Linked DNA regions of Elephas maximus indicus. The protein of the gene in region 1 purifies or fractionates together with the protein of each later gene. This does not show direct contact. Links are inferred from orthologs where the notes say so. Each region holds a gene or a part of one and is shown in the gene's direction. Other genes may lie near its edges. The genes, in order: INAVA and CEP170.

What was found.
Region 2: the proteins of INAVA (region 1) and CEP170 purify together in Homo sapiens (co-immunoprecipitation; 3 studies listed by BioGRID and IntAct, counting the BioPlex papers as one, with this or other methods). This does not show direct contact. The link is inferred for Elephas maximus indicus from reciprocal best matches to the Homo sapiens genes INAVA and CEP170.

The regions. Positions count from the first base shown.
Region 1 is NC_064836.1:9,348,707-9,356,700, forward strand, and holds the start of INAVA (innate immunity activator protein), read left to right. Parts: upstream 1-4,856; 5' UTR 4,857-4,897; coding exon 4,898-5,100; intron 5,101-7,994. UniProt on the Homo sapiens protein: Expressed in peripheral macrophages and intestinal myeloid-derived cells, is required for optimal PRR (pattern recognition receptor)-induced signaling, cytokine secretion, and bacterial clearance.
Region 2 is NC_064842.1:20,966,901-20,974,750, forward strand, and holds the start of CEP170 (centrosomal protein of 170 kDa), read left to right. Parts: upstream 1-4,370; 5' UTR 4,371-4,788; intron 4,789-7,850. Other genes in the region: SDCCAG8 (serologically defined colon cancer antigen 8), read right to left, coding at 3,627-3,693.

The DNA.
Region 1 (7,994 bases):
AGGGGATGGAAGGTGGGTAAGGGGCTTGGGGCTTGCAGTGAGGGAGAGGCCAGATTTTGACATCAGGAGGGGAAGGGCTCAAGTCCTTCATCAACAGGGCCACAGGAAGCAAGGGAAGAGACCTGCGCTAGATTCCAGGCCAACCTACTCCGCACCTCCCTCGTTTTCCCTCTCAGGGGTTTTTCCTCCTGGGCACTCAGAAGATCGTTGGCCCACAGGGAAAAGCAGTCTGCTAGCAACTGACGCCCCCTGCTGGTCCCTCCGGGGAGAACAAGCTACAATTGGTGCAAGTAGACCGAGGGGAGGAAAGCATCTCCATGTGTGACAGGCAGCGCTCAGGGCACAGCCCTGTGGCCCCTGAAATCTTATAATTTCATGCGACCAAGATAGATGCCCTGAGGAGGAAGGGGGAGAAGGGAAGGCAGAAAGCCAAGGAAAAATGAAAGAGAAGCATGAGAGGAAGATCTAACACTCTGGAAGAGGACCTCATAGAATTTAGAAACAAGAATTGCTTGCCAAAAGGATGCTGGGTGTGTCTTGGGGAGTGGGTTCCTTTCTCATCTTATCTTACCCAGGGGACTGAGCCACAGTGTGGGGGTCTTCCGTTGCCTTCCATGTGCTCCAAGCAGCAATTCAGACCCAGTGTCCATGATCCCAGTTTCTTGGGCTCCCTCCCATGGAGGCTGCTTAGTGTCTTCCCACCCACCCCTCCCACCCTTCCACCCTCCCACCCTTCCACCCTCCCACCCCACCTCATCCCCACCCTTGGCCCCTTAAGTCGAGTGTATGCATCTCGCATCACTGCTCACCTGCTGGAAGCCCATCCTGCGCCCAGCCAAGAGGGTTCTGGTTGACAGAGACAGAGACATAGGCCGACCAGGCAGTGGCCCCTCCAGCACCTGCCCCCAGCTGTGAGCTGCAGGATGCGGTCAGGGGAGGAAGTAGGGTCGCAGGCCGAGTCATTTCTCGCCTAGCCGAGGGCACCGACAGGGCACTGTCTGCGCCACAGAGCATCACCCCCCTCTGCTCATCCGGTCCAGGGAGTGAGGGGGAAGGGAAGGGAGAGTGGGGAGAGTGAGTTCTGCCTTCAGCTGGACCTGAGGGCCTGCGGATATGGCACTCGGCAGGGCCAGGACAGAGCCTAACAGGCAGGAGAGGTCTGGGGTGAGCCCCCTTCTACAGCCATGTGGGAGGTGCCGGTACAGACACACAGCTACCCAGCTACCACAAAGCTCCAGGAGCTCCAGAGGGCTGGTCCCCTTCTTCTCCATGATGCAGAACTCATAAAATTCTTCCCATACCCCTCTGCCACTTCCAGGAAAAGGAGAAACCCTGCTTCTCAGCCAAAGTGAGAGGAGGAGAGAACCAACCCTGCGGGGTGGGAAGGGGTGCAGTGGCCTCTCCCAGCAACTTGCACCTTCTTCTTCCCAACCATGAGCTGAGCCAGGAAGTTCCCAGGGAGGGCTCTGGCTTCTATTCCAAGACCCCTGCTTCTCAAGTCCCAGCTTCCTAGAGGCCCCCGGTTCCCTGCCCGAAGTTCCAGGCTCTGAGCTCCTTCAAGAGGCTGTGAGATGTGGAGCAAGACATAAACTGCAGCTGGAGGGATGTAGACACATGTTGTTTGACTCCTTTGAATTAAAAAAAAAAAATCAAATATACAACTCAGGTGATTTCCACATAAAAATTTGGATTTCCAGCTTTTGTTTTTAAAACAGAAACTTTTTCTTGTGACAGCATTTGTAGTGACTGACCCCCTTAAGACAGAGCCTGAGTTTTCTAATTTGCCTGAGGTCCCCATCCTGCCCCTTTGTGCTCACCCTCTCCCCTTGTCTGTATACACCAAGGCCAAGTATGAGTTGAAATGTTGCAAACTAAATAGCACACTGCTGGAATACCAATTTACCTGACATACTTACTTCTTTACCTTACCTCTCTGGTCTTCTTAAATACTTGAAGTTTTTCACAGGCTGCAGAATCAGAAAGAATTGTCTTCAAATCCCAGATCAGTCACTTACTAGCTGTGTGGCTCTAAACTGGTTATTTAGCTTCTCTGTGTCTCAGTTTTCTCATCTGTAAATGAAGGTAACAGTATTGCTACAAATCTCAGCCCACAAAGTCAGATTTACAAGACATAGGAGTCACTTTACGTCCTTTATATCAACTTGATTTTGTCATGGGTCCTCAGGCTGCTGGGCGGAGCCAGAAACTCTGTTTCCTCCTGCAGAATCCTGATGGCTTAGGGATAGTCCAGGAAGCAGGGTGTGTGTCGACAACCTCCTTGCCCAGGGACCTCTTATAGTCTGGGGCTCCTGCCTCCTGGACACATTTCAGATGCAGGAATCTGTCAAGGCTGGAAGCCTGGGGCCCAGGGACTCAACTCTCATCCCCGCCTTGCCACCTTCCTGCTGTGGAGTGGTGCTTGGGGTCCCTCCTGCTCAGGGCACTGACCGTTGTCTTTCTCCTTCCCAGGTTAGCCCAGGTCATCTCCTCTCTGCCTCCTGGCCTTCATAGGCCACACCCGTGCCCTTGCCCAGCAGGATACGTGGCATCCTCTCGGTGGGCTCTGGACTGGCACCTTCAGGAAGCTTCTGCCGCCCACCCAGAGCGAGGGTATCCACGGGGGGAGGGCTGGGAGGCATGGAGGAAGGGATGTTGTTGTCGTTAGTTGCTGTTCAGTCGCTTCTGACTCATAGCAACCCCATGTGTGTAGAGTAGAACTGCTCCATAGATTTTCAAGGCTGTGACCTTTTAGAAGCAGATCACCAGGCCTGTCTTCTGAGGGGCCTCTGGGTAGGTTTGAACTGCCAACCTTTTGACTAGTAGTTGAGTACTTAATAATTTTTGCCACCCAGGGACTCCATGGGAGAAAAAATACAGATCAATATTTTAATCAATTACTCCATCACACGAGTCATAATAATGATACCGTTTAAGGCACTTTGTCTTCTGTTCCATCCCTTAAATGTCCCCAAAGTTCTCCTCTTGTTCCTTCTCCCATTTTACACATTCTTCCTGAGTGATCTCATCCAAGCCCAGGGCTGCAACTCTCTGATGACTCCCAAGCCCTTTCTCCAACCATCTAGGTGCGTTAAAGCCCCCACCAGACTGCTCGCTGGATATTCCCATTAATGCCCTAAAGTGAACACATCTTAAGCTGAACTCCCAAACCAGAAGCCTGGAGGTTGTCTGAAATCTCCCCTCTTCCTCATCACCCTTCTCTTAAGCAATCACTTACAGAGTCAGGCCAGGTCTACCTCCTGAACAGCGTTTGACTCATCTCCCCCCAAACCCCCACTACCCCACTGCCACAACATCAGTTCAGGCCCTGACAATCCTGACCTGGATTACTGCCAGCTCCCTGGTTTCCCTGTCTCCAAACCCTCCCCACCCAGTCACTCATACATACAACACCAGAGTGACCGTCTAAAGGTGAATCTGCCCAGGTTATCTCTCCGATCAGCATTCTTGAGTAGCTAGGCTTCCATTGCAAAATAAAATCTTAAGCCCTTAGCTAGCCAACAAGGCTCAGGTAGCGCCTTAGCACCAATTAGAAAAAGGCACTCACTCTAGGTAGACAAAGGTCCCTGGGTGGCACAAATGGCTTGTGCTGTCTACTAACCTAAAGGCTGGTGGTTCAAACCCACCCAGGGGGCCCAGGAAGAAAGGCCTGGTGATCTGCTTGGGTGAACCAAGAAAGCCCTATGGAGCAGTTCTACTCTATAACACATGAGGTCGCCATGAGCTAGAATTCACTTGCTGGCAGCCGTTATTTTTTTGCCCCCTTGGTGGACACAGCTCAGGCCAAAGAACACAGCTTGGTGGGTGGAGCATGGGGGAGCTTTCGGTTCTGTCGCCCCTCTCCCTTGGTCTGATGCACAACCTGGACAACCACACAGAGCCTCCCTGCTTTCTGATGAGCCCCTGTCCGCCTGTTGAGCCTCATTTGTCTCAGCTCCTCCACCCGCTTCCCTCCTCATCCTCACCCTAAGTTCCCCACCGCTCCTAGAACCTGCCTGTTCTTTTGCCACCGTGTTGTTGTACATCGGTCACCGCGGCCTTAAGTTCCTTCTCATACCTCCCAGATAGCTCTGGCACTGCCTCCTCCTGGCCTTGGCGGTCCCTCAGCCTGGGTCAGCTTTGCCTCTTCCTGTTCTGGCTGCTAGCCTTCGTGTCACCGATACTGTTGCTACTTGATTACTTGCCTAGATTGGGGCATCCTCCAGGGACGGGGCTTGGCCCTAGTAAGTGCTCGGTGTTTATTGAACAAATGAAAATAGGGACGTGTGAGTGACTGAATGACTGAATGAATGAATGGACGGACGGAGATACGCTGGCTCGCAGGAAGCAGTAGGAGGCGCTCACCAGGAGTGGGCTGTCTCTCCTTCCGACAGCCCGCCAGCCCCCAGGAAGAGGAACAGCCTGCGGCCAGACGAGGGGGAGGCGATCCCTGCGCCACCAGCCCGCCCGGCTCGGCAGCCCACTGCGGCGCACGGCCAGGGAAGGGTCGTGGAAGGGAGGGGCGCTGCGGGGGAGGGGCGCTGCGGGGGAGGGGCGCGGCGCCCTCAGGCCCGGCTCCTTTCGTTCTTTCACCGTGGGGGTCTCCCGGAATGAAAACTGCCCCCGGCCAGGCCGGAGCGCGCGGATGAAAGGGGCACTCGGACCGCGAGAGGAGCCTCCTCCCGCCCGGGCTGCGGAAACTGGCAGCGCAGGGGGTGTCTGGCCACCCCGGCGCTCGAAAGCGGGAGAAGGGGGACAACCGCTCCCTCAAGTCGGTCTCCCCACGGCGTACTCACCCTGCTAACACCTTACTAACTCAATATCCAGTCCCGTCGGGACTCTTGGGTCGGAATCTCGAATCCTTTCTTCTATCTTTCCCCTCTTTCCTCTGGTTCTTGGTATGCCCCAGGGGACAGATGTCTTGGGATCTTTAACATTTGGGATGCTGCAAATGCCGAAGTTAAATGAAATACCTCCGGGGAGGGAAGATCGGGGGGATACTCGGGGAGAGGGAAGATGGCCTGGACGAACAGGTCTTGAAGCTGCGAAGCAGGAGCGGGGGCCGCTGGGTCTCTTGGGCGGCGCCAGAGCTCCATGGGACAGGTAAGGGGAAAACTTAGGGGGACCCAGCGCCGGTGAACTAGGGAGATCAAGCCCCTGAACCCACGGTCTTCACCCGTAGTGGAGAGGACCCTACAGGAAATGGGGTGATCTTACCCAAGTGGTAGGAATTTTGAGTGCCTATGAAAAACGCAGACTTCCAACGCTTTACCCTTTCTCCTTCAACTTTTCCCATGCCTGTGGATCCCCTGGCCAGGTTCCGGGAAGCCAGAGCGCAGCCAAACAAAAGGAGCAAAGTCTCAGGCCGGCCTGGACGTGGAGGGCGCGTGGGGGAGGGGAGCAGGGTGGACAGGACAAAGGGGCTTTTTAAAGAAAGCCTGGTGGTCTGATTTCAGGGCGCATTCCAGGCTAGCGTGGAGTTTTTCTGACCCAGCCAACTCCACCATCGCTTGGAGGCAAACACCTTTCCCTGTGGCCAGGGAGGAGAGCCCAGAAAGAGAACAGTTAGAAACTGACCTACCACCTCCCGGACCACCTTCACCACCCGCGCCTGGAGGGTCCCCGGACATTTCCCTTAACGCCCTCCCTCCCTCCCTCCGCCCCCCCGCCCTCCGCTGTTGGATCCAGCAGTGTGACCATTGATTCGCTAATTCATTAAGTAAAATTTTGGCAGTGCCAGAGACAGTTCTTTGCTGGATGCTATTGGGATGTCGCTGTGAGTCGGAATGGACTCAAAGGCAAAGGGTTTGCATTTTTTGTTTGTTTGTTTTTTATTGGGGATATGGCACATTGGTTAAGAGTTCATCTGCTGACCAAAAATCCGGCAGTTCAAATCCACCAGCCGCTCCTTGAAAAACCGTATGGAGCTATTCTACTCAGTCCTATAGGGTCGCTGAATTGGAATCAACTGGACGGCAACGGGTTTGGATTTTTGGTATTCCTGTCTAGTGTGTCAGAAGACTTAAAGAAAGAACTTGAAAAAAAAAAAAATTAGACTACAGAACGGTGGAAGAGTTTCCTTATCCAGGACTTTTCCTAGAAAATGAAAACCCTAAAGAGATGCAGCTTTTCCTCTTCCTGGGGGAGGCTCTGGATCAGATTCCAAGTACTGTAAGGTTTGCAAGGAAACACCACTTCTTCACCAACTGGTGGTCTTGGTGATGATGCTGTGATGTTTGGGGCTGGGGCATTAGTCCCCTGACCCTTAGACCGGCTGGGGGTATGGCTTTGAGCCCCAAGTCCCCAGGTGAGCTTTGGAGTGCCCACCTCCCTGGTACTGTGAGTTGGATGACTTGGCCAGATCCAATGGAGCCTCTCTGGGGTCCTTGGTGGGAGGTCTGGTTTGCCAGTCCCATTCCAAATCTCAGATTCAGATTCTGCTGTGTTGAGAGATGCTGGGTGTGAATTTGGAGGGGCAAAGGGTCATTGAGAATCCCAGAGGATCAATGCAAACAGTAAGGTTGACCATCTGTAGTTCTCTCCTCTGCACGGAGCCAGGGATTACCTGTGGGCAGGGGTTCTTAACTCAGCCCACGGGCACCAAGGCACCTGTGGATAGAAATCAGAGGGTTTGCAAATACATATGGAAAAAAACTACATCTTTGTTTTTCTTTTTAACAGAAATTTAGCGTTGCACAACGAACCACAGAAGCACTGGCAGTATGTGACTTTACCACTAATAGAATTCACAGATATTTTCATATCACATTGCAGTCTTTGCAGATACTCCAAATTTCGTTTGAACTTATTGCTTCTATAACATTACAGTTGTTAGTAGACCCACTGTTAGATCCTGTTTAATGTCAATAAAGAGACATACATCACTCTTTTCTATTTTTAGAACTGTATTTCAACATAATTGCCTCTTTCAGTGGTTCCCTGAATTTTATTTTATATATTTAAAAATAGGTTATGCACTAATTCCAGAAACTTCCACACACCTCCCCCTCCTCCCCCCAGGAGCTGGGGAGTGGACAAGGTGGAGGAAGGGCCATTTATGCCCAGAAAGACCCCCCCACCCCGCGTGACACTGAAAGAATGTGCCGCACCTCTGGGGGGTGGGGAGGGACTGTCATGTTGTGGAGGGCTGGGGGAAGGGAAGGGCTGCTGGCTGAGACCCTGAGCACTGCTCTCTGCCACAGGAGGGGCCCTAACAGTGGCCAGCCTGGAGAACTCCAGCTAGCATTGTTTGGAAAGAGGGTGTGTGCAGGAATGCGAAGGTGTGCTGTGGGAAGGGGGAGCTGCCAAAGGGAAGGGGACAGACTGGGGCTCTTCCATGATGCTTGAAGGGGGCAGACTTCATTATCTTTGCACTGGGGGGGTGTGGGGACGGAAATATGCCAGAGCTATGTTGAGATTCCGGCATCCCAGGGAGGCTCAGCCTCTTAGGTTGAGACCTTGGCAGGTGGGGTTCATGGTGGGGAGAATCAGGAGGTGGCAGGAACAGAGGTTGTGGGATGAAACCTTGAGGGACAGGGTGCCTCCAATTCCAGCCTGCTGGATTTGGGCAGTCTCAGACTTGCTTTCCCCACTGTGAAGTAGGCTGGATTCCAGTTTTCAGTTTGTTTAAGAGTCAAAGGGGTGGGAGACCTGAGGGCTTTTTTTTTTTTTCTGGAGAAACATGTTCCATTTTGGGCTGTGGTCCCACATGTTTGGGGACTTAGAACCTGGGGTCACAGTGGCCCTCCTGTGGAGAAGGGGACAGGCCTGGGCTTATGGTTAGTGCCCCACAGACCTTGTCAACAATAAAATGGGGAAGCGATGGTTTTGATGTTCCTGGGAGAAAATGTCTGGGATAAAAAGAGAAAAGAACAGCCTGGCCCTCTGGTCCTCAGGGCCTCCCCATGTAGAGTCCCATGGTTGCTGCCTTGCCTGAGGTTTTCTAATCCCGATTTGGGAGCTGCAATCTCAGCTCTCAGTTTCCATTTCAGTGTATG
Region 2 (7,850 bases), on another chromosome or scaffold:
TGTGGGGGCTAGCGTGTTGCTGCGATGCTCGAAGCTATGCCACCAGTATTCAGATAGCAGCAGGGTCATCCATGGAACACAGGTTTCAGCTGAGCTTCCAGACTAAGGCAGACTCTTCCTAGCTAGTCCAATATATTCCTACACTCAAGTTTACAGAACTTAAAACCAGATCCTGGATTGCCTGTTATTCTTGCTTTTCTGACCCCTTCTTGGCCCCAAAGTAGTTTATTTTAAACCTCATAGCTTTATATAATGGTGCATTGAATTTAAATTAGAGGAGGGGCATTTGTTATCCTTCCCAGTTACTAATATAGTTCTCAGCCACTCTGTGTACCTTGAATTATAACTACTTATAATTGAAGATAAGAGTGAACGACACCTAAATATACTGCCAGGAGACCTCCCAAATCACTTCCAACTCTAGATTAACACCTGGGATATGCCCACTTTTTTTCTTTTTAAATCACACTGGAAACTTTGAGATAACTTATTATGTCGGTACAATATTACAGAACTGTGAGGTAACTAAGTTTTTCTGCTAGAATTCTCATATCAAAGAAGAATCACTGAACCTCTCCAATTTCTTGCTGAGAGGCCACAAACAACTCAAACCAGGAGCTATTCTCTGAGGGGTCAAACAAGGACTGCATTTAAAAGTTTAAAGGAAAGGATGAGAGGTGAAAATGGCATCTGCAGATGGGCATGCTGCTTCCATGGTTGTTCCAGGACAGTCAGAATCAAGGAGAGGAAAAATTCCACTTAAGTTTTGAAAGCAAAAAAGTAAACTTTGACTCTGCTTTTCACGTCAGAGCTTTAAAATCTTAAAATACTATAATAGTACAAAAAATTATATTTAAAGTAATTAAGAAAATCTATAAAAATGGAAGAACTATCATGGAAAACTGCGAAAGCATTTAGCATTTTTACTTCCTAATCAAAAAATGGAAATCAAACCCATTGCCATCGCGTCCATTCTGACTCATAGTGACCCTAAAGGACAGAGCAGGACTGCCCCACAGGGTTTCCAAGGAGAGGCTGGTGCATTTGAAGTGCTGACTTCCTGGTTAGCAGCCAAGCTCTTACCACTGAGGCACCCAGGGGTCCCTTTTATTTCCTAGCTGAACATAAATGAAGGAGTATCAGTAATGTTGACATGTACAGTTATTTAATAAAAGAGAAATAATTGTCACGGAAGACCAAGAATATTTATTAGCCTTCCTTTGAGCATGAACTAGGCAAGGCATTTTGGGAAAACAGTGGTGAATATACAAAACCAAATAAATCAACAAAAGCAATACAAGACAAACGAATTTCGAGCCGCAATTTATCTGATTGCATACTAACATAATTCTTAAATTATTAGGCACACTCAAAATAATGAAGTGCCACATATAAAATAACTCTAACATACTTTATATGGGAATACAAATTTCTGTCTTAAAGGGCATTATCTTTTCATGGTTCGAACCCACCCAGGGGCACTGCAGAAGAAAGGCCTGGTGACCTGCTTCTATAATGGTTACAGCCAAGAAAGGCCTATGGAACAGCTCTGCTCTGCCATGTGGGGTTACTATGAGTAGGAACAGGCTCAAAGGCAATGAGTAACTCTTTAAATGAGTGGTACGTTTAGAGTCAGTTATGTTTTCTTTCCTTACAGAAGCTGTGCTATAAACAAATAAAAATTAAAAAATGCTACTAAATAAATAATAAAATAAATCCTAAAAACCCACAATAAATTCAGGTCCCGTTTATTGATACACTGTTAAAAGTAGGATTTAAACACTGTTTTACTATATTCTTTGCCTTCTGGCTATATGTTTTCAGTATTTTGTTATCACATTAAATGAAATGACTTTAAATTTTGTTACATTCAAAAGAAAATTATTTACTCTTTGATTACTGAAAGCAGTACCACTGTAGCATATTACTGCAACATTAATTTACAATTAACTCTTTTACTGTATCAAAATGTCTAATATTAAACAGTTTCCAATGCTTGGATAAAGGCTCAAAATTACGTCAAAAGCATTAGGAGAAACTTTTATGGAGGCCAAAAAATGTTACCAACCTCAAAAACTAAGCAGAACCATTCATTCAGCGCAGTACTTTTCTTGCTTTCAAACGAAAAGTTTTAAGTGATCATATAAATATCTAACAATGCTTGAAACATCATTAGACTGATTCTTTTACTCCTCTAGGTTGAATATTGAGAATGTCGACAGGTTGTAACATTGTTGACAGCTGTAAACAATAAATAACCTTTATAAAGTCTAGAGTTACTAGAAGATAAACTTTGTAATCTCCTAGAAAAATCTTCACTTTGTTGCAGGACCAAGTATAAATAGCAGCTAACATTTAATGATTGTTTCTTAAGTGCCAAGCACTGATTCTTACCCTTATTTTCTATTATAATAATCTGTAATTATTTTATCATCTTTATCTCCCACTATTCCAGAGACTCCATTGGGGAAGGGACCTTGCTTGTTCCTTACTGTGTCCCCAGCACCTAGCATGTGTAAACACAGTAGGCAGTGAACATTTACCAAACGAGTCAATGTTCTAAATAGTTTAAATAATTTTTTTTCTCCAACTGTGGGTTATGCAAATGAAACATAATGGAAAATAGCGTCTATTACACGTAATAGAATAAGTTTTCTTTAGCGATATTTGTTATATTTGCCCCATGTGTACGTCCCACGTAAAATGTAGTTCTTACCCTGGGGTACCATGGAAAAACAAGTAGGAAAATTTCTGCTTTACATGGATTATTTTGTTTGCTCCTCACATTTAACCCTGTAGACAATACATCAACCTCTACTTTAAAAAAACAAAACTGAGCTTTCTAGGGTTATATAAGTTGTCCAAGATGGCAGAGCCATCTACTACAAATATGACCATCACTTCCATAGATACTCACTTATGGGAAACTGTACTAAAATAATCTGAATTAAATGAATAAGGTTGCAGTAACAGTGATTGTGACATGATTAAAACAAACAAACAAAAGGACAGGCTTTGAAGGAAGACAGGACTGAATTCAATCTCTGGCTTTGCCAGTAACCAGCCGTGTGGCCTTTAGCGTGTAATTAAACCTCTCTGAGCCTCGATTTTCCCATGTGTAAAATAGGAATAATCATAAAGTTACTGTAAGTTTTAAATGAGCTAATGTATGTAAATAGCCTAGACCACTAAATAGAAGCTATTTCGATTAAAACCATTATTATTGTTTTTCCCCCATCCAATAAATCACTTTCATCTTACTAAATCAGAATTTGAATGTGTAAAAAGTGTGAATCAGAAACTAATTGGATTAAAGAGCCAAGTATGAGAACTGGGCAAAAGTGACATAGAGCTGTCCACAAGTTTCTGCTGGCACTGGTTGAGAAAGATGCCTAAATCAGGATCAGAGAGTTGGTTCGGGTGGAATCAAGGGAAGCAACGCCGCTCAACCGTCAAACAAACTCATACGATTTCATCCTTCCTTAAAGATTAGAGCAACGCCCATCTCCTTCCTATACAGCCAGGCTGGGGCTTAACCAAGGTGTCAGGAAACGCATCTGGTCAGTTCCCGTCCACGAGGCCCTGGGTACCAAGGGGCTGGGGCACAGAGGTTCGGAGCAACTCACCCCGGAGGCTCCGTTGATATTGCCCTAGAATCTCCTCTACGGCAGAGTTCCCTGGGGACTTCGCCATGCCCGGACCCGGGGCCCAAGATGGGAGTTAAGTGGGACGTGTCCAGAGGGCTCCGCTCAGAGAACAGGCCTACCGCCTGGGGAGGGCCCGCCTGCTTCCTGCAGCTGCTGTCACTGGGGAGCTTGGAACCCGGGACGGAGCTCGTGGGGGCTCTTCCCACCCACTGGCCCTAATGGTGGACGTCGGGAGTGGTAGTCCACAGGCTCAGGACCTCCAGCCTCGAGATACTAAGCCCTTCCAACTACACTACAATTCCCAGAGAACACCGCGCTCCAGGAGCAACTTCGGCGGTTCGGTTGCCAGAGCCGGTTGCCAAGAAACAGCTTGGAGGCCCCGCCCTTTTCCTATAGCTCGGCCTTCATGCCATCCTTCTGTCTGGACCACCTAACTGACGGAAAGATTTCACGGTCGGCCTTGGGAGTCTTCGAAATGTTCTAATACGCGGCTGACCTCTAAGGCTTCTGAAGGACTCAAATGACAAGCTCTGAATCTTTTCATCCTTGAAATTTGTCACAAAGGCCAAATCAATTCTCAAGAAAAAGAAGCTCTATATCTCCGAACAGCCTAGACAGTCTAGCTTGTGAAGGCGGCCGACACTACAAATCCTAGCTTGCCCGGCGACCCGACCTCCCGTTGGCGTTAGCGCACTGCTCGCTGGGAACTGTAGTCCTTGTTGGTTGCGGTTCCGCGAATGCCTGGGTCGTGTTCATTGTTCGAGATGTTCTTGGGACACGCCTGCGCAGTGGGCAGCTGAAATAGCGTGTGGGTGAGACCCTCCGCACAGCCCCTTTTCATTGTCTGTCTTGGCGCCTGCGCAGTAAGGGATTGTTGGGACAGGGCAGGAGGAGGGGATAGGGCTCGGCTCCTCGCCCTTTCCCAAGGCGCCTGCGCACTAGCCGGTCGCTCTTTGCCGTTACCGCTATGTGTGGGGCGTGTGTGGAATAACGTTATTGCCCAGCGGAGCTGAGGGGCCCGGAGCTCGACAGCAGCGACAGCGACAACGACGACGGGGTGGGAGGAGGACGGCGTGCGAAAGACTCACGGGACGCGACGCGCCCCGCCTCCACCGTCCGGTCCCTCTCGCCACAGTCAGGGGTAAGTGATGCGCTCGGCTGCTCTGGCTCGGCGCTGCTGATGTCGCCGCCGCCGCCGCTTTTCCACCTCCTCTTCCTGGGAGAGCCTCGGGTTTGCGGCATGGGCTCGGGGTGCGGGGCCGGGAGGCGAAGGGGGCGCTTCCCGGATGCTCCGCGCGGCGCCGCCACCCCGCCCCGCGCCCGCCTCAGGGGCTCGGCGGGGCCGCCCCTCCCATCCCCCGCCCCGGGTCCCCCGCCCCTCCCATCCCCCACCCCGGGTCCCCCACCCCGGGTCCGCCACCCCGGGTCCCCCGCACCGGTCCCCCTGTCGTGCCGCCAGCCCGGCCTTCTCCGGGCCACTGCCTCTCTTCCCCTAAACGTCTAGAGTCGTTTCCAGCGCCCCCGCCGGCTTTGTGCGGTGCACCCCCGACCCCCGACCCCCACCCCCACCCCCGTAGCAGCAGCGGTTTGTGGAGGGTGCGGACGCAGGGCCCGAGGGAATGGCTGCGCTGGCGCGGGGAGGGGGTTTTTCCCAGATCCGCAGCCCTGCTGGGGCAGCGGACAGAGCCGGTCCTTTTCGTGTGGTCGGTTTTGGGGTGTGGGACGGTTGGGGGAGGTCGAGCGAGGAGCCCTTTTGGACGCAGTTGGAGGGCGTGGAAGACGTGGTGTCACGCACCCCGCCTGGCGATGTCAACCGCGTAGGCTCCAGCTCCATAGTAAACCCGGGGGAGGAGAGAGTGGCTTCCTGTCGGTTTCATTGTCCTGAAATCCAAGTGTAGGGTTTGGTATGGTCCCCTTCGTTTTATGCAAGGGGAAAAAAATAAATAAATATCTGCCTAACACAGGGCGGGAAGAAGTGTAGTCTAGGTCGTAGAATCTGCTTTGGGTGTTTAGTTGAGTTTTATTTGAAGAATGTAAGGTCCTGAATAGCAGGGACTGTGCCTGCTGCTGGAGCCCAAACGCTGCCAAGGTGATCAATATGAAATTACTAGATGAAGAGCGGGCTACGAAGGGACTGACAATGCAGCTGTTTGTAGCAGGGAAATGAACCAGCAGAATTGTTTTTTCATTGGGTGGGTAACGTATTCGTATTCCTAAGAGAATAGATTTGGACACATCTTTCCGTTACATTTTTTTAAGAACTCAAAACAAAGCCAAACAAACAAAAAAAGAGGCCTGGTATATTTCCTCTTTCTGAAGTCGTTTGTTAACATTTTTCATTCTCTTAATGAAATTTCGCCCATTTGGGAGGAATTATAGTGAAGCAGATAATATGTGATTGGGAAAAAATCTTTTAAGATGATTTGATCGTTAAGCTTACAACGTTTGCGGGCGTTTCTACTTAAGATTAGCAGAAGAGAGAATGAAGCAGGGTGGGGAGGAGCAGATGGAGGAAAAATGTAAGATTGTGGGAGAGAGTTACATTCTGAATACGGTATCTAGATCTTCACTGATAGAACCCAAGTTACAGGCATGCTTCAAAGATTTCAGAGTTCAGCTCTGGAAATATTATATTGGTGAATGGCAGGTTACAAGAATTTTGTTTTTTCTGCCATTATTTTATGTTCCCCAGGGCTGCTGCTTGTTCTTTCCAACTTTGTAGATACTGTAGAATTTTGGTATTTTAAAACAGAAGAGTCTGAGTGCACTTGACAGAAAAAAAAGAAAAAAACCCCACTGCTGTGGAATGGATTCCCACTCGTAAGGACCCTGTAGGACAGAGTAGAAGTGCCCCATAGGATTTCCAAGCCTGTAAATCTTTACGGAAGCAGACTGCCACATATTTCTCCCACAGTGTAGCTGGTGGGTTTCAATGGCCAACCTCTAGTTTAGCAGCTTAGTGCTTCGCCACTGCATCACCAGGGTTCCTTCACTTGACTGAGGGAAACACTAAAAGTCTGAAAGTTAACTGACTTGTCTCCAAGCCAAACTGCTAATGGAAGGCAGAGCCGGATAAAACCACGATCTGTTCTGCAGAGTGCTGTTTCCTGTGTGCCTTGTCTTCTAACCCTAGTACTCCTACGCTGTGAAGATTTATGGATACCTTCTCTACATGCTTTTTCGACTGTTTCTTAAGAATCAAGTTCATTGGTATTCCAGTTGTATTAATCTAGTCCTTTTTCCTTGTGATGAAAGTAGCAATTCTGCTGAAATGGAACTTAGTTTTTTAAAGTAACTTATTGGTATAAGGAAAGATGCCTTAACATCGGTTTTTCATAAAGACAGAGACTGTTGGAATTAGCGACCATGTTTTAATATATTTCTTGGTATTCAATAGCATTTTATAGTATGATCAGTTCTGCAAACTGTGTTAAAACTAAAACTGTCACATAAGAAAAACCTATTAAGTTCATTTTTCTTTGATTAATGGATTATAATATTTTTAACTTAAGTTAGAAGTTACCTACTGTGAAAAAATTCATGTTGGACTGTTTTTCAAAATTTTAAGCTTTTTTATTGAGTTGATTTTGCCATTAATCCTTTTATGTTGCCTCATAATTTTTATCCTTTAATTCCCACATTGGATTTTTATAAACATATTTTCTTTAGAATTTAGTAATACTTCATTTAAATTTCGACTTAGTTTTAAAAAAGTAGTCTGTAATTAAATCCCATATGCACAATTAAATTAGACTTTAAATATATTTTACTGATAAATTTCAGTGTTTTAAAATTGTGTGTGAAAATAAGTAAATCTGCATGTTTTCTCTCAATTGCACTGTAGACATTAGCATACATTCTGCATACTTGTTAATGCAAATATCAGTGTATTTAAAAATTCTGTGTTTAGTGATTTGTGATTTATCATTTTCTTCTATTATCTACTAAAAAATAGAAATAATTTTAATTGTTGCACCTGATAGTAATCAGACATCACTTATCTAGTACTCAATACTGTATATGTTTAAGCTTAGCGTTATTTTTTAAAAATAAATTTTATTACAGTTAAAAATATATATAACAAAAAGTTTGCCATTTTAAGTGTACAATTCAGTGACATTAATTACATTCACCATGTTGTGCTACTGTCATGACTATCCATTTTTAAAAAGTGTTACGTCACCCCAGATAGCAACTCTGTGT